Neodiprion lecontei: one gene and its partner. Each later gene encodes a partner of the first gene's protein in a complex. Links are inferred from orthologs where the notes say so. Each region holds a gene or a part of one and is shown in the gene's direction. Other genes may lie near its edges.

Region 1 (4,858 bases):
TATTGAAATATGGCGACGCTGATGCGTTGGATTGAGACATTATTAGAACAATAATATTTCCGTGATCTGATGTGAATAAAAACATACATTTTATCAAATGATCATCTTTTGCTTAGATTTTTTTTTCGTTTTACTGATACCTCTTCAATATGGGTGGGTAGTTATTGAGCAAGAAAACAGAATAATTTTAACATAATATAGCACGGAATGCAACTAGTTTAATAGTTTTATTTACAAAGAAAAGCTGTTTCAATGAATGATTTAACTAAGAGCCTCTACCGGCCTTCCATTTAAAACCTCAGAAATGGCAAATAATTTGAGTAACTTTTTGATGGCCACTCTGCTAATACATCTTTCAAATCTATGAGTGATCATGATAATTTTGTGTTCAGTTTTAAAATCAATACTAGCTTTAAATTAAACTAAAATTGAGTAAAAGGCTTGTCATATATCTGCCGGATAATATTTATTCAGTATAATTTGAGTTGATTCAAGTGTGCTATTCATTTCTTTATTTATTTTTTTTATTAGGGAAACTATAGCAAAGAAAAGTTCAAGTTCGTATGGAAATATGAAATTGGAAATATTCTACATTGTTTCTAACTCTGCAGGAATGTGGATCTTTCTACCTAAGGCAAACTTTTTTAGTGCTTCGTATTTGCTGTGCCACGATTCTATTTCCTCTCTCATAGAGTTGTTATCATCCTGCATGTCCTCCATGTCTCTATACTCCTGAGTTTTTTCTGTTTCAAGCTCATCCTTCTGTTCGATACGTTTGATACGACAGCTTGCTGCATAGCCACGATTCTTCAGTGTTCGCCTGCGCTGTTTCATTCGAACTATTTCATCCCTCGTCAATCCGCGAAGTTTCAGCTGACGATTCAAGTCACGAACTGTAATCGTCACCAGCTCGTCATCGCTTATGTCTAAGCAAGGTCCTGGTGACAGGGGATCCTGAAATCATCACATAAATTTATTGTTCGAAAAACATATTTAAGTGTGATATTGAATACTGGACAAAGAATACATGACATTTTTCTAACATTCTGGTTTTCTTCATACTTCCTGAATCACAGATACTAATCATATGAATGAAAATTTAGTCACTCTGTGATTCTATATTATAAATTCGTAGAACAGAAAATACAACAATTTTAATCATAGTAAAGTTGGTTTAAAGATGATGTTTAATCAGAGTAAAAAATTGTTTATCAACGATTAGCAACATTTCCTAGAGAAAGACGATTTCAGACGATATACATAACAGACAAGGCAGAGGAATGACAAGATAGGAATGTCAATATAATTGATATCGTTGTGCAAACAGCTGGTCTAGGCACCCTTGAAGCGATGCAAAGACTCTCAGCTACTTAGGTTATGAACAAGGAAACGTGAAAACATACGATAATAATAGAAATTAAGAAAACTGTAGCCGCGAACTGTAATCGTCACTCGAATCGAACGTTGTATTACAATATTGAACGAGTGACACGCCTATCGTAATTACAAACAAGGTGTAGTTCTATCAATGAGCGTGTAGGCATTTGGAATTTACGGGGGGAAGTTGATCAGAGAATTTTCATATCTTGGAATAAGACAACTTACCATATCGATCATTCTTTTGCCTTCGGAAGGCATGATCAGCTTCGTTTCAGGAGTTGGACAGTACAATGAACGAGCTACTTTTTCCTAGCTCTCCGTTTTTCACAATATTATGCTTTGTCATCGTGAAAGACGGCTCCCCAGCTTCGAAATTGTCGATTCGTACACCAAGCAGCCAGTCATCGTATGGCTCGAAGCTGGTCCGTAGTCGAAGTAACGCGATCGATTTCGAAATCTATGATGATAACAGGAGTATAACTTATGACCGTCGTGAACATAGCTGCGCAGCTGATTTAGCAGACGATTGCCAGTGCTGGCTGGCTGAAAAAGGGACGTAGCAAATGTGCGGATTTGTTGTAATCGAGGAAAATTAATGGAGTGACCAGAATTCTCAATTGAGAACTAAAATTAACTGATAATCGCGTCACTCCAAAATGGCCACAATAATAATGAGAAATTTTCGGGCCATCGCTAGCCTAGCCTCAGTAGCAGCTCCGAAACGTAAAAATTTTAACCTTACGGTTAACAATATCACGTACTGTTTTAAGTTATATAAACTTCAATTGCAGGTTGTATTTCCGCCTTTCCTGCGCTAAGAAATCAAGCTCAGCCGCCAACTGCACCACCGGCTGAAAAAACAGAAGAAACACGTCGTAAGGTTTCATACATCAAGTTCAATTCTCACTATTTTTTATAACACTTGTCTAATGGGCTGCGGAATAACTGTCTTGTTAGCGAAGAGAGATTTCACAGTCAGAGAGATCAAATTTGATGCAAATTTTGTGAGTGGTAACAGGGCCAACATGAATAGACACATATCGCCATTTGAATGAATAAGTTTTCGTTGCCGTAGAACAAGATATTTCAAAGATGTACCTAGTATCTTATAAAAAGTTCCAGATTTTCACAAGGTATGAAAATGTTAGAGATTTACTTGATTGAGTTTTTCTGATATTCAAGTCATTTCTAAATACTTTTCACCTAGTAGAAGCTGGATATTTAAAGAAATGCGACTCCAAACTGCTGCATTTATTTAAACATTGCTCCACAGGTATCTACCCAAAAATTATTACTGCAGTCTAAAGATTGACATTATTTCTTCCTCACAAAAACTTTGAATCGAATTCAACTCCCCGTGCTCTGTGACATTTTATGCTAACTTATTCCATGTAAAATGATGTGATAATGTTGATGTAATCGATTTATCAATTGTTCACATGGTAGCGGAATCACCACATTATATATTTTAATATTTCTTCTCTGAGGAATGGGATTTTTGTGCATCGCAAATTTTTAAAAACGGAATTATTTTTCAGCTACTGTTCGCAAAGTTGACCACGTTGCTCGCAGTCAGTTAACAGACTTTGGTCGCTACGTTGCTGACTGCGTTCCTAAGTATGTACAAAAGATTCAACTGACAGCAGGAGATGAACTGGAAGTCTTGATAGCACCGGAAGGAGTTGTTCCAGTTTTAAGTTTCCTCAAAGATCATCAAAATGCTCAATTTCTGAACATAGTAGACATTACCGCAATCGACGTTCCAAGCAGAGACAACAGATTTGAGGTACCATTTGATAATTGTTTATAAAATTACAATGTGGCAATAAAGTGGAAAATTTTCATTCAAGTATTCGAAAGTGTTCAAAACATCTTTAATTAGGTTAGTCTCAATTTACTTGAGACTGTTTCCTGCATCATACTTTTATTCATGTATGTTCTCCAATAATCACTTATCCACAGCTCATATACAATCTTCTCTCGCTGCGCTACAATGCTAGAATTCGAGTCAAGACATACACGGATGAGCTGTCGCCAGTTGACTCAGCCTGCGAAGTGTTCAAGGGTGCCAATTGGTATGAACGTGAAATATGGGATATGTTTGGTGTATTCTTTGCCAATCATCCTGATCTACGCAGAATTCTCACCGACTACGGTTTCGAAGGGCATCCTCTTAGAAAGGATTTCCCATTGAGCGGATACGTCGAGGTATACACATTTTTTTTATGATCATCCACTCCAACGTTCCCTAATAGAGCTTCAAAGAAGCAATGAAAATCTTTACCCTTCTCTAACTGTGTGTTTTCACAATTATCTATAACATGTCAATTATTCAGGTACGTTATGACGACGAAAAGAAAAGAGTGGTTGCAGAGCCACTTGAAATGGCTCAAGAATTCCGAAGATTTGAATTGGCTGCTCCGTGGGAACAGTTTCCTAACTTCCGAGGTGCACCTCCCAGTTCTGAGGAGATACCAGTCGACAAGAAGTAAGCATGTATTATTGCTCTGATATAGTATACACAATAAACATGGATTGATTGTCACCAGATTGTATTAGTTGCTGTAGTTGTTTATTTACAATTCAAGTTCTCTAATATTCTTCTCAAATCTGATTTTACCAGATAATAGCGTACGCCGGTGTTGATGTATAACAACTGTACAATTTTACATTAAAAACTTTTGTTCGAGAAGTTCATATTATTTTGAATGTGTCTCTGCCAACATACGTGTATAATACATGTAATTGGTTTACCGTTCACTTGAGTTTCCATTCTAGAAATATTAAAACGATTATGCTGTTTTGTTACATGCAAATCATTCAAATAAACGCATATCGTAAATAATTGAACAGCCAGAGAGAAAAAGAGTGTGAGAAAGAGAGAAAGCGAAAGCCGTATGTGAAAATAATCGTTGAAAAATAAATGATACACAATTGCTATAAATTTATTGTTAATTATTTATTTCATTCTCAATTCGTGTGTGTTTCCTATACCCCAAATTTCAACACATCAATTAATCAAAATTTTAATGACTATCGAAGAGGCAAATTATATTGGAGATGAAGCGTTTTCATTTTCGGTAGTATAACGATAAATATTTTAATAACATATACGTAATGAATAGACAAATTTTTGTTCAAAACACTTGCTCGCGTGAAATCAATAAACAACAACAGAGTAGATGTGTTTGCGTTATCTAAAACCCCCGTGCATTCTAGTGCCAACAAGACGCACGTAATTAATATACAGTTATAAATAATATATTAAGTTTATGGCTTGAAAAAAAAAATCTGAAATACTAAGATTGTTACAATTATATACAATAAATTGTACTTTGTTGCTTTTTTATAAGATTGCAACTTGTCATGACCTACAGTGCAAGTTTTAGATTCAAAATATTCGTTCGGTTTTATCAGACAAGTGGTTGGTGGCCTAGAATTATTTTCACGTAATGAATAAACTGTGTATTTGAACTGA
Region 2 (4,268 bases), on another chromosome or scaffold:
AGTTGTTAGGTACAGAGAGTAATATCAGTATTACGTAAAAAATGTATAGTTTCAATAACTTATAATACAAACTTATTAAAATAATGTTTTGCAAAAAAAGCTGTATTAAGCAAGAAATGAATATGAATCTTTATTGCCTTAAAGACATCATATTTATACCAATTCTCTAGTTAATTTTTCTATTTTCAATGGTAAAAGATTAACAAAGTCTTTGCAGACACTCAATTCCACGCTCATCAATTCTGCAGCTTTTTCATCCTTCTCACAGTAGCCAATCAGCGCTTTGTAGGCATTCAAACTATTTCGAAGATTTTCTAGCTGTGCATGTTTGTCAGGTGTTATGATTTTATAATACAATCTTCCCAAAAAAAAGTAAGCAAATAAAGCGGGTCTAACTAAATCTTCGGAAAATTTGTCTGGGAAATTGTGAGTGGCTGGATCCACCAGAGAATCTAAAAAATTCTGAAAGTTTCCAATCGCACTCCTGGCAAGGTTATTGATTTTAGTTAGTGCCTGGGCGGTCGGTCTTTCGTTTGACGCTTGCAGACGTTCAAGCTTAATATCTAAAATATCGCAGTAAACTTCGCCCAGTTCGATCCATAGTTGCCTGCACACAGTTTGGTAATACTGTGGATTTAACTCTGTAACAATCTTTTCTAAGGCGTCGACCCGCCGCTTGTGCATTTTAGATTGGCGATCCTCATCCTCTTCAAAGAATGACAAGAATTTAAAGAGCTGCGAAACGTCTTGTATCACTTGCACGTGATCCGACGCATGACTCTCCAATGTGTAATACTTTTTTGCCTCATCAAGCCATTGTTGGGAGTTCAGAAATATCGTCCTGGCATCGTTGAAGTCCAAAGCATATTTGTCTGTCAGTTGATTTGCAATAGTTTCAATTTCTTTCTCTATCTTTGTGAATCTTAAATTCTCGATACATTCTTCAGTGACCCCCGAGTTCTCATCCAACTGCATCCTACTTATCTCCGAGCACATTTCGCTCGTTTCATCATCGGCATGATGCATCAGCCTTTCTTTGGATGTACTCAACAGCAGGATCCCATATTTTGCCCAGCACCTGGCGACGTCTGCGCTTCTATGTCTGAACGTTTCCCATTTTGCTGCCACCACTTCCTCCGTATCGTCCAAACTTCTCAACTCATCCTCGTACTTTTGCAGAATATATGAAGCTGCAGCCAAGTGATGTTTGGCCTGCCTAAACCCTCCCTTTTCCATAAAATACTGGGACAAAGTCGCAGCATTCAAGGCCCAGTCTACACAATCCAGATCTTCGTGGTTCAACTGACGTTTCAGAGTCATGTGGCAGTAGACTGCGGATTTGAGGTGATCCTTTAAGGTTCCATAGATTTGCGCCAAGTAGTAGAGAGTCAGAGTGTGGAGTCGTTCGACTATTTCCTCAGCGTCTGTGTCATCGTCATCATCCTTCAGATTGAACAATGCGGCCATAAGTACGGGTTTGGTACTATCGCTTTTTTCAATCGCAGTAAAATCCTTGTATATTTTTTCAGCTTTTTCTAAATATTTCTGGGATGTTTTTGGATTGTCTCGCTGGGCCCAGAGTATTCCCAGCTGATTCAGAGCACTAAGTATAACTAATATTGCCTCTGGTCTCAGTTCTCGGTCAATCAAAAGGTCCACGCAGTTGGTCAGCTGCTCTTCACCGGCTGCCAATTCCTCCGTGTCGACCGAAATTATCCCCATATTGAGCCAGATAACAGCAAGCATTGCTGTCACAATATTTCTGTCGTGTTCTGTTATATTGTCGTCTAATATTTTCACAAGTTTAATCTGCATTTCCTTGAGTATATCGGCTGCCGCATATTTACTTTTGTACGGCTCACTCTCCGGGTCCAATTTACTGTGCTCGTCCAGCAGCTTTCGAACCTTGACGTATTTCTCCTCCAGGTCCACTAGAATCTCCTTATTCACACTATCGAGCTCCATTTCAACGACACTTTCGGACAATATACTGAAGTGATTGAAATTCAAGCTGCAACGACGACTGATTTATTTGATCCGTGTTTGAGGTTAAGTACCGGTTTTCCTGTTTTCTTTTCGTCGTCTACGCGGTGCGCAGACCGTTTTGCGTTTTTCGTCTCAAGCAGACGCTGTGAGCAGACGATAGAGTGCGATCCGTAGTCTCAATTAATCCTGAAAACTTGTGCAAAGTATCGAGGAATTCAGAATTTGCGTAAAATATGGCTGGGCTTTTGAAAAAGGTAAATGTCTAACATAGTTGAATTGTTGGTATTTCTTAGAAATGGGCTTGCAAATTTTTCTTTATGGCAAATAACGTCAGGTGTTACACAACATAACCTGTATATCATATTAATCACTTCTCGAATACGCGTTGAGAAACGGTATTTTTCAAGAATTGGAGCGTTTTAAACGTATTTTTTTATTGCTGCGCCAGTAACTATAAAGGTCATCGATCCTTTCGAGACTCACTTATGCAAAATTCACTACCAGTTAGACATTGTCTCTGGTGGATGGATGTAGTCAAAGAAAGGTAACTGCTCGTGGCTGCTTATATTTGATTGTGAGATATAATAAAATCGCTAACTGCTCAAGTTGTATTACCATGCTTCTGTTTTTTTAAATTGATAACTAAAGTACTTTGCAGAATATCACAGAAGTCCTATCATTGTTTGATGGAAGGATTCTTTACGACTAACTAACAACTATAAGATTCATGACTGAGACATTTGATTCGTATGTTTATATTCCAAAAGAGCTGTGACTTTTTAAAGCCTTTTTAAGTATATTCAATGCTTTTTAAATGTTCAATATCAAGTATTCTCTTTTTTAGTCAACAAATTTAGCCAGGGTGCCCGTTGCCCCGAATCCACATCATACTTTGGGAGTGTTGTACAGTAAAATTCTTAGAGCCGTCGATAAAATGCCCAAGGATTATCCCTACAGAATCAATACGGAGAAAATTGTTAAGGAACGAGCTGCTCATGTGAAAAATGTAACTATTATTGCACAGTTTATTTATTAATAGTTATTCTTGGAAGATTATTAAATTATAAACTGATCAAGAATGATGTCGCGTAAAGTCGAAAATCGTGATTTTCATTAAGGTTTATTGAAAAGATATGCTTGTTACCTTGGTAAGAAAAAAGATATTGACAAATTATAGGATTTAAATCGTTTCAGAATCTAAAAGTGCCAGACCTTGAAAAAGCCATAAACTGTGGCCAAGCTGAAGAATTAATCCTACAAGCTGAAAACGAATTACACTTGGCGAGAAAGTTCTTAGGTTGGAAGCCTTGGGAACCGTTGATCCAAGAAGCACCTGCTAACCAATGGACTTGGCCACCGCACAAATAATATGTGAATCGATTACGCATATTTAAAATGTTTATAATCATTGCATACGCAAAGTAGACAATATTAATTGTATATACGTCTGTCTCCGATTATAAAATAGCAGTTTTGGAAGAAATTACTTGTTCCTGAAAATAGATATCATTAAAGAAATGAAAATATGCATGGACTAATCAAATGAAACTATGTCATCTTAATTAACGTGCTTCTGCATTGAAAAACAGGTCAAGATTTTTATTTAAAATATTCAAGAGCAATATTTCTTCGTTTTTCTGACCAAATCACGTAATGACCTTCATATGTGCCAGAAAGGAAGATGTAATTAGTAACGGTCTAATTACGTCTCAAGTTAAGTTAGCATTAATGAAAAATTAAAAATCTGCAGATCTACCAAGACTTTGCAGCCAAAATCCCTGTGACGAATTTATTCACAAGCTTACATTTACACTTTAAATATTGAAATTTTATTATAGATAAAAAATAGTCTAAATAAACCGACGAGTTGGAGATTAACAGATTTGTAGTATTTCCAGATTTCCGGACCACAAAAAATTATAATAGCGACACCAGAAAGATATGTATAACATACTCTCTTTGTACTAATTTGAAACTCAAGCCATAGTTAAAGATCTGCTCTACGCTCTACAGTATCATCCATTAGTGCAACTAATATTTCTTGCGAAGTATTTGATGTCCCATCTGGATGTCGTTTATCAAAATTTCCTGACTGTCCCTATTTGGATTCTGATTGCGTAACCACATTTCTATGTTTGCATACTTCCCTAAATGAGAGACAAAAAATTGCCATAACAAACTAAGTTTCGATGCAACATTTATTTATTTACATACTTTAGAATTGCTTGCTCTGTTATTGTTATTCCAAGTCATTGTATTCTCTTCACTGATTTTTGAGCTGG

Evidence for each region.
Region 2: the proteins of NADH dehydrogenase [ubiquinone] iron-sulfur protein 3, mitochondrial (region 1) and NADH dehydrogenase [ubiquinone] 1 alpha subcomplex subunit 5 are in contact, whole or in part, in a cryo-EM structure (PDB 8ESW), measured with the Drosophila melanogaster proteins. The link is inferred for Neodiprion lecontei from reciprocal best matches to the Drosophila melanogaster genes ND-30 and ND-13B. Residues at the interface, in NP_647775.1 of Drosophila melanogaster: Tyr66, Glu69, Cys70, Leu71, Pro72, Lys73, Tyr74, Val75, Gln76, Lys77, Leu89, Ile90, Ala91, Pro92, Glu93, Val96, Pro97, Gln100, Phe101, Asp104, His105, His106, Gln107, Gln109, Val119, Val121, Cys123, Arg124, Asn126, Glu129; in NP_648409.1 of Drosophila melanogaster: Tyr28, Ser43, Tyr44, Tyr47, Thr48, Leu51, Arg55, Cys74, Gly75, Glu79, Gln83, Ala84, Asn86, Glu87, Ile89, Leu90, Lys93, Met94, Trp97, Lys98, Pro99, Trp100, Glu101, Lys102, Leu103, Val104, Gln105, Ala106, Ala107, Pro108.

The regions. Positions count from the first base shown.
Region 1 is NC_060261.1:6,100,022-6,104,879, forward strand, and holds NADH dehydrogenase [ubiquinone] iron-sulfur protein 3, mitochondrial, read left to right. Parts: upstream 1-1,874; 5' UTR 1,875-2,036; coding exon 2,037-2,103; intron 2,104-2,171; coding exon 2,172-2,255; intron 2,256-2,918; coding exon 2,919-3,166; intron 3,167-3,342; coding exon 3,343-3,588; intron 3,589-3,716; coding exon 3,717-3,872; 3' UTR 3,873-4,072; downstream 4,073-4,858. Other genes in the region: tRNA (cytosine(38)-C(5))-methyltransferase, read left to right, coding at 1-35; transcription factor MafK, read right to left, coding at 589-954, 1,606-1,638. UniProt on the Drosophila melanogaster protein: Core subunit of the mitochondrial membrane respiratory chain NADH dehydrogenase (Complex I) that is believed to belong to the minimal assembly required for catalysis. Complex I functions in the transfer of electrons from NADH to the respiratory chain.
Region 2 is NC_060260.1:32,435,446-32,439,713, forward strand, and holds NADH dehydrogenase [ubiquinone] 1 alpha subcomplex subunit 5, read left to right. Parts: upstream 1-2,084; 5' UTR 2,085-2,219; coding exon 2,220-2,240; intron 2,241-2,830; coding exon 2,831-2,992; intron 2,993-3,180; coding exon 3,181-3,354; 3' UTR 3,355-3,534; downstream 3,535-4,268. Other genes in the region: KIF-binding protein, read right to left, coding at 154-1,965; uncharacterized protein LOC107218492, read right to left, coding at 4,189-4,268.